Macaca mulatta: one gene and its partners. The protein of the gene in region 3 purifies or fractionates together with the protein of the main gene of each other region. This does not show direct contact. Links are inferred from orthologs where the notes say so. Each region holds a gene or a part of one and is shown on either strand. Other genes may lie near its edges.

Evidence for each region.
Region 1: the proteins of BCL10 (region 3) and CSNK1A1 purify together in Homo sapiens (affinity purification with western blotting; 4 studies listed by BioGRID and IntAct, with this or other methods). This does not show direct contact. The link is inferred for Macaca mulatta from reciprocal best matches to the Homo sapiens genes BCL10 and CSNK1A1.
Region 2: the proteins of BCL10 (region 3) and BIRC2 purify together in Homo sapiens (affinity purification with western blotting; 3 studies listed by BioGRID and IntAct, with this or other methods). This does not show direct contact. The link is inferred for Macaca mulatta from reciprocal best matches to the Homo sapiens genes BCL10 and BIRC2.

What each region holds. Positions count from the first base shown.
Region 1 is NC_133411.1:158,474,019-158,477,670, reverse strand, and holds part of CSNK1A1 (casein kinase I), read left to right. Parts: intron 1-1,139; coding exon 1,140-1,279; intron 1,280-2,480; coding exon 2,481-2,559; intron 2,560-3,652.
Region 2 is NC_133419.1:103,217,168-103,221,433, forward strand, and holds the start of BIRC2 (baculoviral IAP repeat-containing protein 2), read left to right. Parts: upstream 1-1,458; 5' UTR 1,459-1,604; intron 1,605-1,621; exon of another isoform or gene 1,622-2,063; intron 2,064-2,830; 5' UTR 2,831-4,088; coding exon 4,089-4,266. UniProt on the Homo sapiens protein: Multi-functional protein which regulates not only caspases and apoptosis, but also modulates inflammatory signaling and immunity, mitogenic kinase signaling, and cell proliferation, as well as cell invasion and metastasis.
Region 3 is NC_133406.1:155,296,013-155,299,506, reverse strand, and holds the end of BCL10 (B-cell lymphoma/leukemia 10), read right to left. Parts: intron 1,115-3,494; coding exon 759-1,114; 3' UTR 603-758; downstream 1-602. UniProt on the Homo sapiens protein: Plays a key role in both adaptive and innate immune signaling by bridging CARD domain-containing proteins to immune activation.

The DNA of each region.
Region 1 (3,652 bases), on a different chromosome or scaffold from region 3:
TTCATAAAAATAGTTATTTGCTTTTAAAAGGCCTAAGTTCTGGAGCGTAAACTTGAATTACATACAATTAGCTACGTTATAAATGAATACCTTATTCCCTGAGTACCATATAGACATGATAACATTAAACGTTATTTTGTTCTAAACACTAGTTTTGTTTTTAGTTAACTCACTTAAACTGCTAATTGTAAGCCACCTTGATTTAAATGCTAAGTGCTTTTTGGGGGGATTTTTATATCAACTTGTCAAATTTTCTAGAAGTTTAACCTGACCCACGTGTATAGTGTCAGTGCTAAGTAGTAGTTTTTATTAATGAAAAGTCTTGTTTTCATTGGCAATGTCAGACTTTTAGAGTAGATAACAAGCATTCTGTTGGCACATTTAAGAGTGGCCTTTGTAGGAGGGAAGAGTTCAGATAGCTTATATCTGGATTTTTTTTTTTTTTTTTTTTTAAGACAGTTTTGCTCTGTGATCAGGCTGGAGTGCAGTGACGTGGTCTTGGCTCACTGCAACCTCTGCCTCCCGGGTTCAAGCAATTCTCCTGCCTCAGCGTCTTGCGTAGCTGGGACTACAGGCATGTGCCACCACGCCTGGCTATTTTTGTATTTTTTGTAGAGATGGGACTTTGCCATGTTTGGCCAGGCTGGTCTCAAACTCCTGACCTCAAGTTATCCGCCTGCCTCAGCCACCCAATGTGCTGGGATTATAGGCGTGAGCTACCGCACTCGGCCATTATATCTAGATTTTGAAATCTCATGTTTGTTTACCAGTAGTAACAGGTGTATAGACGATCAGGTGTTATGACAGATAGCACACTTGTTGCTTCTGCTGTCAGGCATGTATATGTTTCTTTCTTTATAAAGACAGGCTCCTGAGTATGTAATGAAATGGGCCTGCAAAATCTGCAGATGACAAGGATAAACTACTAGACTTTTTTTTTTTAACTTGATTTATTGATGAAGACTAGTAAAAACTTATGGGGGTGGGGTGTTAAGTCTGTTCATTATCTGCTCTATTAATACTTAGGATACTTTATTTTGATATATTCGAATGCGTAGAGTAGATACCGTTTAATGAATAAGAAGCAGTTTAATTGAACAAGGTTGGAAACCTAATGTTTCTGTATTTCTCTTTTAAAGTTATTCCTTATTGATTTTGGTTTGGCCAAAAAGTACAGAGACAACAGGACAAGGCAACACATACCATACAGAGAAGATAAAAACCTCACTGGCACTGCCCGATATGCTAGCATCAATGCACATCTTGGTATTGAGCAGAGGTAAGTTTGAAAATGGAATGTGCTTATCGTAGCCACAGCAGAAGCCATCAATGGGTTTTTGAAATATTTCAGTTTCTTACAATGTCTGAGGATGTTTCTTGGCTGAGACTTTGAAGGATGCTTATTAATCATTTTACCTGCTGTTTTAGACAGTGTAGAGAAGACCGTTAAATGAGATCTTTTGAATTTGTTGTTGTTGTTGAAGGTTGTCTCTTGGGGGGAAAATACTGTGTGATATAAAGTTAGAAGCATAAGTGCAATGTTGACGTTTCTTTTTGCAGCTGAAGATAGTACGTATATTTTTGAAGCTATTCGGGACTTTTTATACTTTAGTAATTCACGTTGAGTTTGGGAAGAATGCATTATTTATTTTTGAAAGGAAAATGTTATCAGTATCCTAATAAACCAAAAGTGGGTTGATGGACCATCTCCTGTTATACTTCACTCAAATATGTAAATTAGTATGATCTAGTTTAAAGTAAAAAAGTGTCACAGTCTCTGCTCTCTTCCTGTTTCTTCACATGAGTTCTAGAGTTTCAAGTTCCTTTCGTCTTTTACAGTCACTTTTCGCTCCTTAAAACAAGCATAGAAGTAATTAGTGGGAAAAAGCAATGATATGACTCCAGGTTAAACAACCTCATACCAAGAATTTCAGGCTTAAGAAATATCCATGAATATCTTAATACTCTAGGTTAAACTGTAATGTCACTTTTTCCGTACGCCAAGGCATTACCTACACCTACCCTTAAATATATATATCTCTAAATATATATTTGTATGTATGTATATATAGATATGTATGCATGAATACATTCATATAGATGTTCAATTAGTTTAAGTCGTAACTCCTTTTCAGTGCTCCTGAAGTTTTTAAAATGAGTTTCTGCAAAACATAGGAATGTCATCCTGCTTGGTTCATTAAGCTCATTTAGAGGGTTGTTTAGCCAAATCCTTTTTCTTCTTTTAAAATTAAATTGTAAGATAGTTGTTTGTCTTATTTTGGATTCTGTGGGAAAAGTTTTGTTTAGAGGTAGGTAGCACACAAACTTTTTAAAATCACCTTAAATAAGTAGCTTCTTGCGTAAGACACCAAATAGTGTTCCCTCCTCATTTGGGAACATTTCTCCTGGGTACTTGGCTTTCTTTCATATGTTTTTCGTAATAATATTTCCAGTTTATAAAGTTACGTTCTCTTTTCTAGTCGCCGAGATGACATGGAATCATTAGGATATGTTTTGATGTATTTTAATAGAACCAGCCTGCCATGGCAAGGGCTAAAGGTAAACCAGACTCACGTTATCAGATTTTTCTGTCTCTTTTTTAGAATAAAAATATATATTGGAGAAGATAAGATTTAAGGTCCTTTCTAAGTCTGAGATTTTTCTGAGATAATAAAGAATTAACCTTAATTTACTTTTTACCTTTTATTTGGGAAAATGAAACCAGATCATTTTAGTAAGAACTTAGTTCAGCTGAAGAACAGTGTCCTCTGAGAGACAGTAAGCTGGTACCCACTGGTAGCCACTAGCTCTATCCAGATGGAAGTGGACATGGACTAAGAAAGGTGGAGACTTTCTCACGTTAATATGTTGCCATTATGTTGAAAATGTATGTTTTTATGTACAGCAAAACCTGTTTATCCAGCAACACATGTCCTAACATTTTGTTTCTATTAGCTAGGAGTTTACCATTACTTTTGTGAGTGTGTGTTAATGATAAATCACCGTGTCCTAATTTTGGGTGGGGGTGGGGGCACAGGGAATGGTCATGCTCTGTTGCCCAGGCCGGAGTGCAGTGACACAGTCGTGGCTCACTGCAGCCTCAACCTCCTGGGCTCAAGCAATCCTCCTGCCTCTCAGCCTCCTACCTGTAGCTGGGACTACAGGAACATGCCACCATGCCCAGCTAATTTTTAAATTTTTTTTGTAGAAACAGTGCCTCACTGTGTTGCCCAGACTGGTCTCAAACTCTTGGGCTCAAACAATTCTCCCACTTCAGCATCCTAAAGTACTAGGATTATAGGTGTGAGTCACCACTGTTGGTGTGTCCTAAATTTTAATGGCTATTTTTGTACCTTACCTGTTCTTTAAAGAAATACCTGTATTGATTGAGTGACTGTGAGCTAGTGCTCAGTCCTTGGGTAGGTGGCTTTATCCAATATGAGTATTTTCACTTTAGAAAAATATTGTGACTTATACAGTTAACTCCATTTATTAATGTCACTAATTGATGAACAAACTTTTTTTTGTATTAATCTGATGCCTTTGCCCTTGTGTTGAACATGGGTTAAGAAAATGCTTTTCAGGCTAAGCATAGTGGCTCATGCCTGTAATCTTCAGCACTTTGGGAGGCCCAGCCAGGTGGATCACTTGA
Region 2 (4,266 bases), on a different chromosome or scaffold from region 3:
TCAGAATGAACAATTCTTGCTATATATATTTTCCCACATGTTAGGAATGTTCTGTAACTTTCCGAGAAATAGTGACTTGAACTAAATACTAAACTACTACCAAGCCCCACGTGCATTTTTGGAAGTTTTTAGTCATTGGGAGCCATGGCATTTCTTTTCTCTGTATTACAAACTGTTACACTCACTTTCTTTGACTATTAACATTGGAACAGTAGACCTCCTGTTCTGTGACTGACTGGCAGGCAGAAATGACACGGACAGGAAATGGGAAATGGTTCAGGGTCTTGGAATTCCCCCGGCTGCCTAATTAAGTGGTTCGCTATTTGGAAGTTTTTAAAATATTTGCCCCTTGGAGTTCCCCAGAGAGAAGCAAGCATTGGATTCAATGGGCAAAGAGCGTCAACTTCAAAAGTCATTCGTTGGCTGTCATAGCACAAACATTTACTGCATGCCACTGTGTCTATGGCACTACTGGGGGAGTATGGCGGAGGGATACAAAAGGTCCATCACTAGTAAAAGCCAAGGGTGTTTGTTTACAAATTTTCTATTACCTAAGCATTAAAAAAAAAAACAACCTTGGGCTTCTCTGTGGTTTATGTACAATTATATGTGCATGTACACCAATACACAGGCGGACGTATATATTTCATTTTATTGAAACATTCAGAAAATACTGGGAGTGAAGCCTGACTTGCAATACCGTTCCCGTTGCTGGCAATGAGCATCTGAAATAATGACACTTTTGTCTTTAGTGCATATGCACTGTTTGTCTCCAGAACAGAAAACCAAAAGTTTAAAAACAAGATAACCTAGTTGATTGTAAAACTCATCGAGTCAAAATTATTCATCAGATGCTTCCTACTTTCCAACGCTTCGCTTTTTTCGATTTGCACAAACAGCTGTTGAACGCTGATGCTACACAAACGGTTACAACTGTTTACTTGAGCAAAAAATGCCATCAGACTGACTCCATCCTCAAAATGCAGTCATCTCGACGGGGGAGGCATCACACTAGGGGAGCCTTGCCAGGGGCCAGATCATAACCCTGAGGTGACACAGGGTAGACGCGCAAAACCACCGGCGCCAGGGCGTTTCCGCAGGGTTTCCCAAGAGTCAAACGCAGCGGCTCACGGTTTGCCACGTCCCCCAGGAGAATGGTAGGCACAGAGAGAGAGGAAACGTGGAGGGGGCACAAACTGCAAGGTGAAGAAAACGAACAAACACCGAGTTGATACGGATAGTCCCCGTTCCCCTAAGGGCCGACCCCGCGACTCCCGATGGGCGTCCAGTTGCGCCGGGGGTCCCTGAGCCTCCCAGCGTCTTTCCCGGCGGTTAGTCGCCCCACGGCCGCAAGTGCGCTCGGTTTCGCTTTCCGGCCCCAGCCTCCCGGGCGCCCTCGCGCGGCTGCCAACGCGAGTCTCCGGCCGGGCGCGCTGACGTCATCGTGCGTCGGCGTGAGCCCGGATGGGGCGGCGGGCTTCGGGAGCGCCGGAGCTGACCCGAGCCGAGGCGGCCGTGTCTCCTTGTCGGTACCGCCGCTTCCCGGCTCTGGGGAGGCCTCTAGGCTGCCGCGCAGCTTCCTTGTTTGCTGCGCCCGCACTGCGGTGAGTGCTGCTCCTTCCGGACTCGGGCGGCGCGGGGAGGGTGGGGACGCGCGGGCCCGCGGGGGCCCACTTCCCTGATGTGGCGGCCGGGCGAGGAAGGAAGGGGCCAGAGGCCCTTCGGCCAAGGGTCGAGGGTCGCCGGGGGCTCTCTGCTTTCTACTCTCGCCAAGGTTTTATTGGATTCGGAAGCCCAAACTTCAAGACTTGCAGTCAAAGCCGTTTTTAAAATATGACTTGTTTTCAAACCTCCTCTGGCCGCCGCCCACTCTTCTGGCCCTTGGACTTTGACCAAGATGTTTTCTCGCAGTTTTTGCAAGGTTTTAAACAGCCCTCGGCGTTCTTTTAATGTAATACATTGAAACGAAGATATTTCGGTGGCGGTGATATTTCATATTTCATAGTTGCCACTGCGCTCTGTCATTCCAGTAGTCTGTTGTGTATTGTGAGAAACAACTCTGGGTAATTATTGGGTAAATCCCATAGTTTCTATTCTTTTCTCTTCCATCCTATCCCCTGTCCAGCTGCAGTTTGCATAAAGAGAATGCTGCAGTACGGTGCTCGCAGATAAAAGTCTTTCGTTTAAAGATAGTATATAAAAAATCGCGTGTAATTAAAGCAATCATGCCAGTGGGCGTCAGGCCACTGTTTCACAGGCCGCTGTGTTAGGTTTTGTTTTCGGTTGTTTTCTACCGTCGTTGCTTTGAAATTGTAAGGGATTGGCAGAGTTTAAGGGTTTATATTAATGAACTCGTGGTACATTTTACTGCAGTTTTCCTAGTCGCGGAGAGACTTGATATTACAAACTAACGTTGCTGTCTGATTACTGCTGTACTGCTGTTGACAGGGTTTAGTGGAGTACCTTGTCGCTCTCTCTGCCTTTTTCACCAATGTTCCTTTGCCTCCAGCAGAGTGCCAAAGATACCTTTAGGTCAGAAAAGGGGAGGAGAGCAAGGACAAAATGTTTTCCTGTGTGAAAATTTCCATCTGTCTCTAAAGTTGTGCTTTTTAAAGACACGTATAGTTAGTGCTATGGGAGTATGTTGCATTTATTTATTTTAATTAAGAGCTTTTTCAGTTAGAAAGTTGTGACAAATTGCTGGAAATTAAGATGTGTTATCTAAAATGTAAATTATTCTTAGACTTTAGTGAATAAATTGAAGAGTATGTAAGTTCTATTTGGCATGCAAATACGGTTTTCTAAAATACCTTTTGTTTTTTCTTTTCAGATTTACAGCCCTGAAGAATCCTCCTCTCCCTTTCCCCTTGCAGTAATAAATCCCATTTTGGAGATCTCGAAGCTTTATAAAGGGATATAGTTTGAATTCTATGGAGTGTAATTTTGTGTATGAATTATATTTTTAAAACATTGAAGAGTTTTCAGAAAGAAGGCTAGTAGAGTTGATTACTGATACGTTATGCTAAGCAGTACTTTTTTGGTAATACAGTATTTTGTTAGGCGTTTCTGATAACACTAGAAAGGACAAGTTGTGTCTTGTGACAAATTGATTAATGTTTACAGCATGACTGATAATTATAGCTGAATAGTCCTTAAATGATGAACAGGTTATTTAGTTTTTAAATGCAGTGTGAAAAGTGTGCTGTGGAAATTTTATGGCTAACTAATTAAGTTTATGGAGAAAATACCTTCAGTTGATCAAGAATAATAAAGTGGTATACAAAGTTAGGAAGAAAGTCAACATGCTGCAGGAAATAGAAACAAATACAAATGATATTTAACAAAGATAGAAGAGTTTATAGTTTGTGAACTTTAAGCCAAATTCATTTGACATCAAACACTATAACAGGCACAGGTTCAACAAAGCTTGTGGGTGTTGACTTCCCCAAAAGTTGTCAGCTGAAGTAATATAGCCCGCTTATGTAAATACTATGGTGATAAGCTGTGTGAACTTAGCCTTTAAATAGTGTGACCATATGAAGATTTTAATTACTTTTGTTTATTGGAATAAAATGAGATTTTTTGGGGACATTATATTAAAGTGCTTATAGGGAAAGAAGCCTGCATGTAATTTTTTACCTTGTGGCATAATCAGTAATTGATCTGTTACCCAGGCTTCATAGCTTGTAACCAAATATAAATAAAAGGAGTAATTTAGGTATTCTGTAGTTGCTTAGAATTTTGAGAATATAAATCTCTGTGAAAAATCAAGGAGTTTCAACATTTTCAAAAGGGCATCCACCTCTCAGGGCTTTAGGTTAGTATTACTCAAGATTATGAACAAATAGCACTTAGATTACTTAAAAGAGTTACTACAACCCCAAAGACTTGTGTTCCAAGTAGTATCTTGGTAATTCAGAGAGAGACTCATCCTACCTGAATATAAACTGAGATAAATCCAGTAAAGAAAGTGTAGTGAATTCTACGTAAGAGTCTATCATTGATTTCTTTTTGTGGTAAAAATCTTATTTTGTGTGAAGAAATTTCATGTGACTGTTTTAGCTATCAAACAGTACTGTCACCTACTCATGCACAAAACTGCCTCCCAAAGACTTTTCCCAGGTCCCTCGTATCAAAACATTAAGAGTATAATGGAAGATAGCACGATCTTGTCAGATTGGACAAACAGCAACAAACAAAAAATGAAGTATGACTTTTCCTGTGAACTCTACAGAATGTCTACATATTCAACTTTCCCCACCGGCG
Region 3 (3,494 bases):
TGTCTCAAAAAAAAAAAAAAAAAAAAGAGAGAGAAAAATACCTCATCAAATTACATCTAATAACTGAGGTTTAGGCCAAGATATTTGTCTTTAAGAATGAAAATGATTAAACCAAGAATGTGAAAATCCTAACAAAGTAGTATAATTAGTAATGTTAATTAGAAATGAATGTTGGCAAACTGAGATCTGAGGTGGCTCATACTCCATCAAGTGTTCCTCCGGTCTCAAAAAAAAGGCTGTTTAAGTGCCTATAAGACAATGGAGTGGAAAAGAGATTTTTTATTTTTATTTTTCTATATTGGCAGTTTTCCCATCAGTGATTGGTTTTATTACTGAACAGGAACAGCTTAATGCTGAAAATTTGCTGCTGAATGACTGGCAAAGACTATTAGACTGAAAATTTCAAGCACAAATGCACTGAGGAAAAAATGTTCTTCCCAGTAAGAGTCTATTCTCAAATAGAGATATATTCCCTATTAAAATCAGTCTTAAAATAGAAAATATTTTAAAAAATAGTGAAAGACCTTAAAAAGGAAAAAAAGAAATTACTAAAAAGTACATGATCAACATGATTTACAATTAGCTATCTTAAAAGCATGCTTTTTTAATTCTAAAAATCCTATTTACAAAGTATGCTTACATCGCATTTTAAAAGACATGTATCAAATGTAAACAAATCATTACAGCCATTTTATAAAAAGATTCATATTTTTTAAAACATTTTTTGTCATCATTAAAAATTAAAAGGCAATAAAGTGTCATTGTCGTGAAACAGTACGTGATCTTAAGGGAAGAAACATCTCACTAGAGTTTCCACAAGTTCCTTCTTCTTCTAACTGCAGGTCTGGCGGCAAAGGAGGAGCCCCTGGGTCCCCAGGTCTGGGAAGTGTAGTTGAAGAGAAGATGGTATTTTCAGTTCTGCCTACTTCTAGAACAGGCAAATTCAGCGAAGAATTAGTGGAAAAAAAGGGCGTCGTGCTGGATTCTCCTTCTGGATGGTACATGACAGTGGATGCCCTCAGTTTTTCAGAGAAATTACTCTCATTTGAATTTGATCTGGAGAGGTTGTTCGTGGCTCCATCTGGAAAAGGTTCACAGCTGCTACATTTTAGTCCTACAATAAAATTATTCATATGTAAATGAAAAAGTAACTAAAAAAAATGGAGTCACTGTCCATCTTGTGACTTGTTAAAGATTACAAGCTAGTTACCCCACAATCAAAATTTAAATAGCAATTTATAATTTCTGTCATAATCTATTTCAAATCTAATTTGCTTTTCTCAACAACTATGAAGTATACTATTATTTGCATTTTCTAGATAAGAAAATAGTCTCATGGAAGTTAAACGACATGTTATAATTCTTATTTAAGGTACAGTGTACATATAAACTTAACCATCTAAAATTTTTTATAAAATAAGAAATAGCTTTCACAATAAATATTCTTTAGTATTCTGGTACAAAAAATATTAGCCAATAAAAACAAAATGTAAACAGGGCAGATGCTAAAATTCTATCTGTTGATCAATGGCAATGGCTAGTTCTTGAATAATAGGATATTAGAACTAAAAGGAATTTCAGAGGTCACCTAGGATAGTCTCTTATTATTAAAAATGAGAAAAAAGGGCGGAGCATGGTGGCTCACAGTTGTAATCCCAGCACTTTGGGAGGCCGAGGTGGGCGGAACATGAGGTCAGGAGTTCGAGATCAGCCTGGCCAACACGGCGAAACCCCGTCTCTACTAAAAATACAAAAATTAGCCAGGCGTGTTGGCAGGTGCCTGTAATCCCAGCTACTCTGGAGGCTGAAACAGGAGAATCGCTTGAACCTGGGAGGTGGAGGTTGCAGTGAGCCTAGATCGTGCCATTGCACTCCAGCCTGGGCAACAAGAGCAAGACGGTCTTTAAAAAAAAAATAGAAAAAAAAAAGGCACAGGACAGTCAAGTCATGTCCAACATTCCAGGACTACTTTGTGGGAAATTGAGAACTACAATTCAATAGATAATGTCCTGTTTCTCAACCTCATAGTTTACTCAAATGACAGTGGTTGTTCCCAACAGCTATGGTATGAATGTATCTGCCAAAATTTCACATGTTGGAAACTTGGTTGCCACTGCAGCAGTGTTAGGAGCTGAGGCCTTTGGGAGGCAACAGGGTCATGAGGGCTCTGCCCTGGACTAATGCCATTATCATGGGAATGGGTTACTTATTTTGGGAGTTCGACTCCTTTTTCTTCCCTTTCACACTCTTGCCCTCCCTCACTCTTCCATCTTCTGCCCTTCCACCATGGATGACCCTTGCCAGATGCTGGCACCATGGACTTGGACTTAACCAGCCTCCAGAACTGTAAAAAATGAATACATTTCTTTTCTTTATGAGTTACCCAGTCTCAGGTATTGCTACAGCAGAAAACAACTTAGATACCATCAAAGAATTTTATCACATCCAAGGGGTGTAGTTAACCATTATCCACAGGATTGAAAGAATAAACACAAATACAATTTACCCTTCTGTTAGGCTTAGCAAATATTCAACCTACAGGCACAGAAACCCTGAGTTGACAATTTTTAGGTAAAACCTGCATAGTCTATAAAGGACACTTACATGTCACTTCTTCCACTAGTTTTTCAACCTTACAGTCAGCATGTCTATTCCATGCTATAGAAACTACTTTCTTAGATATGGCTCAAAAGGGAAAACTTGTAATGTGTCCCAGCAAGGGGACACTTACAGACTATGAGTTCCTTAAGGGCAGAACCCTAAATTATTCTTTTCTGTATCCCTAATGCCTAGAACAGCTGTAGAACGTCACATGCACATTTATGTGTTCTGGAGAGAGAGAGAGAGACAGCAAGGAACAGAGAAAGGAGGGGGTTGGGGATTTAAATTGTGTAGGCAATTCCACACAATATTCCAATCAATGAGTGTATATTCTGGAGTGAGAGTCAAATGGGACAGGTGAATTTGCTATTCTCTTAATGTTTCCATGCTTTCACATCCTGCCAGACTAGTTTCAAGTCACGAATATTTTATGCAACGTGATTCCTATAAACAAGTGCCAATTATTTCATCTTGTGATCGATCAACTGGTGATCACAAGAAAAACTAGCAGAGTTGGACTTTTAAAATACTTTGCCTAAATACTGTTCTTTATGTGCGATGTACAGTATTTTCAGAGGTTACTCTTGAATAATTTTATATTCTGCTGACTTTAGAAACAAATCCTTATGTATACAGGGATTTCATAATAGTTACGTTTTCCATAAATGGTATTAAACGAATAGAAATGCAGTATATTGACAGATATTCCACTTTTTCAATGTAGTAAGGTCATATAAGGTAAAATAAATGCAAATTGAATATAATTTTGAAGTTTAAACTCTTTGAAAGCCAAATGATCATTTCTGTTTTTTTTTGTTTTGCTTTTTTGAGACAGGGTCTTGCTCTGTTGCCCAGACTGGAGTGTAGTAGCACAATCATGGCTCACTATAGCC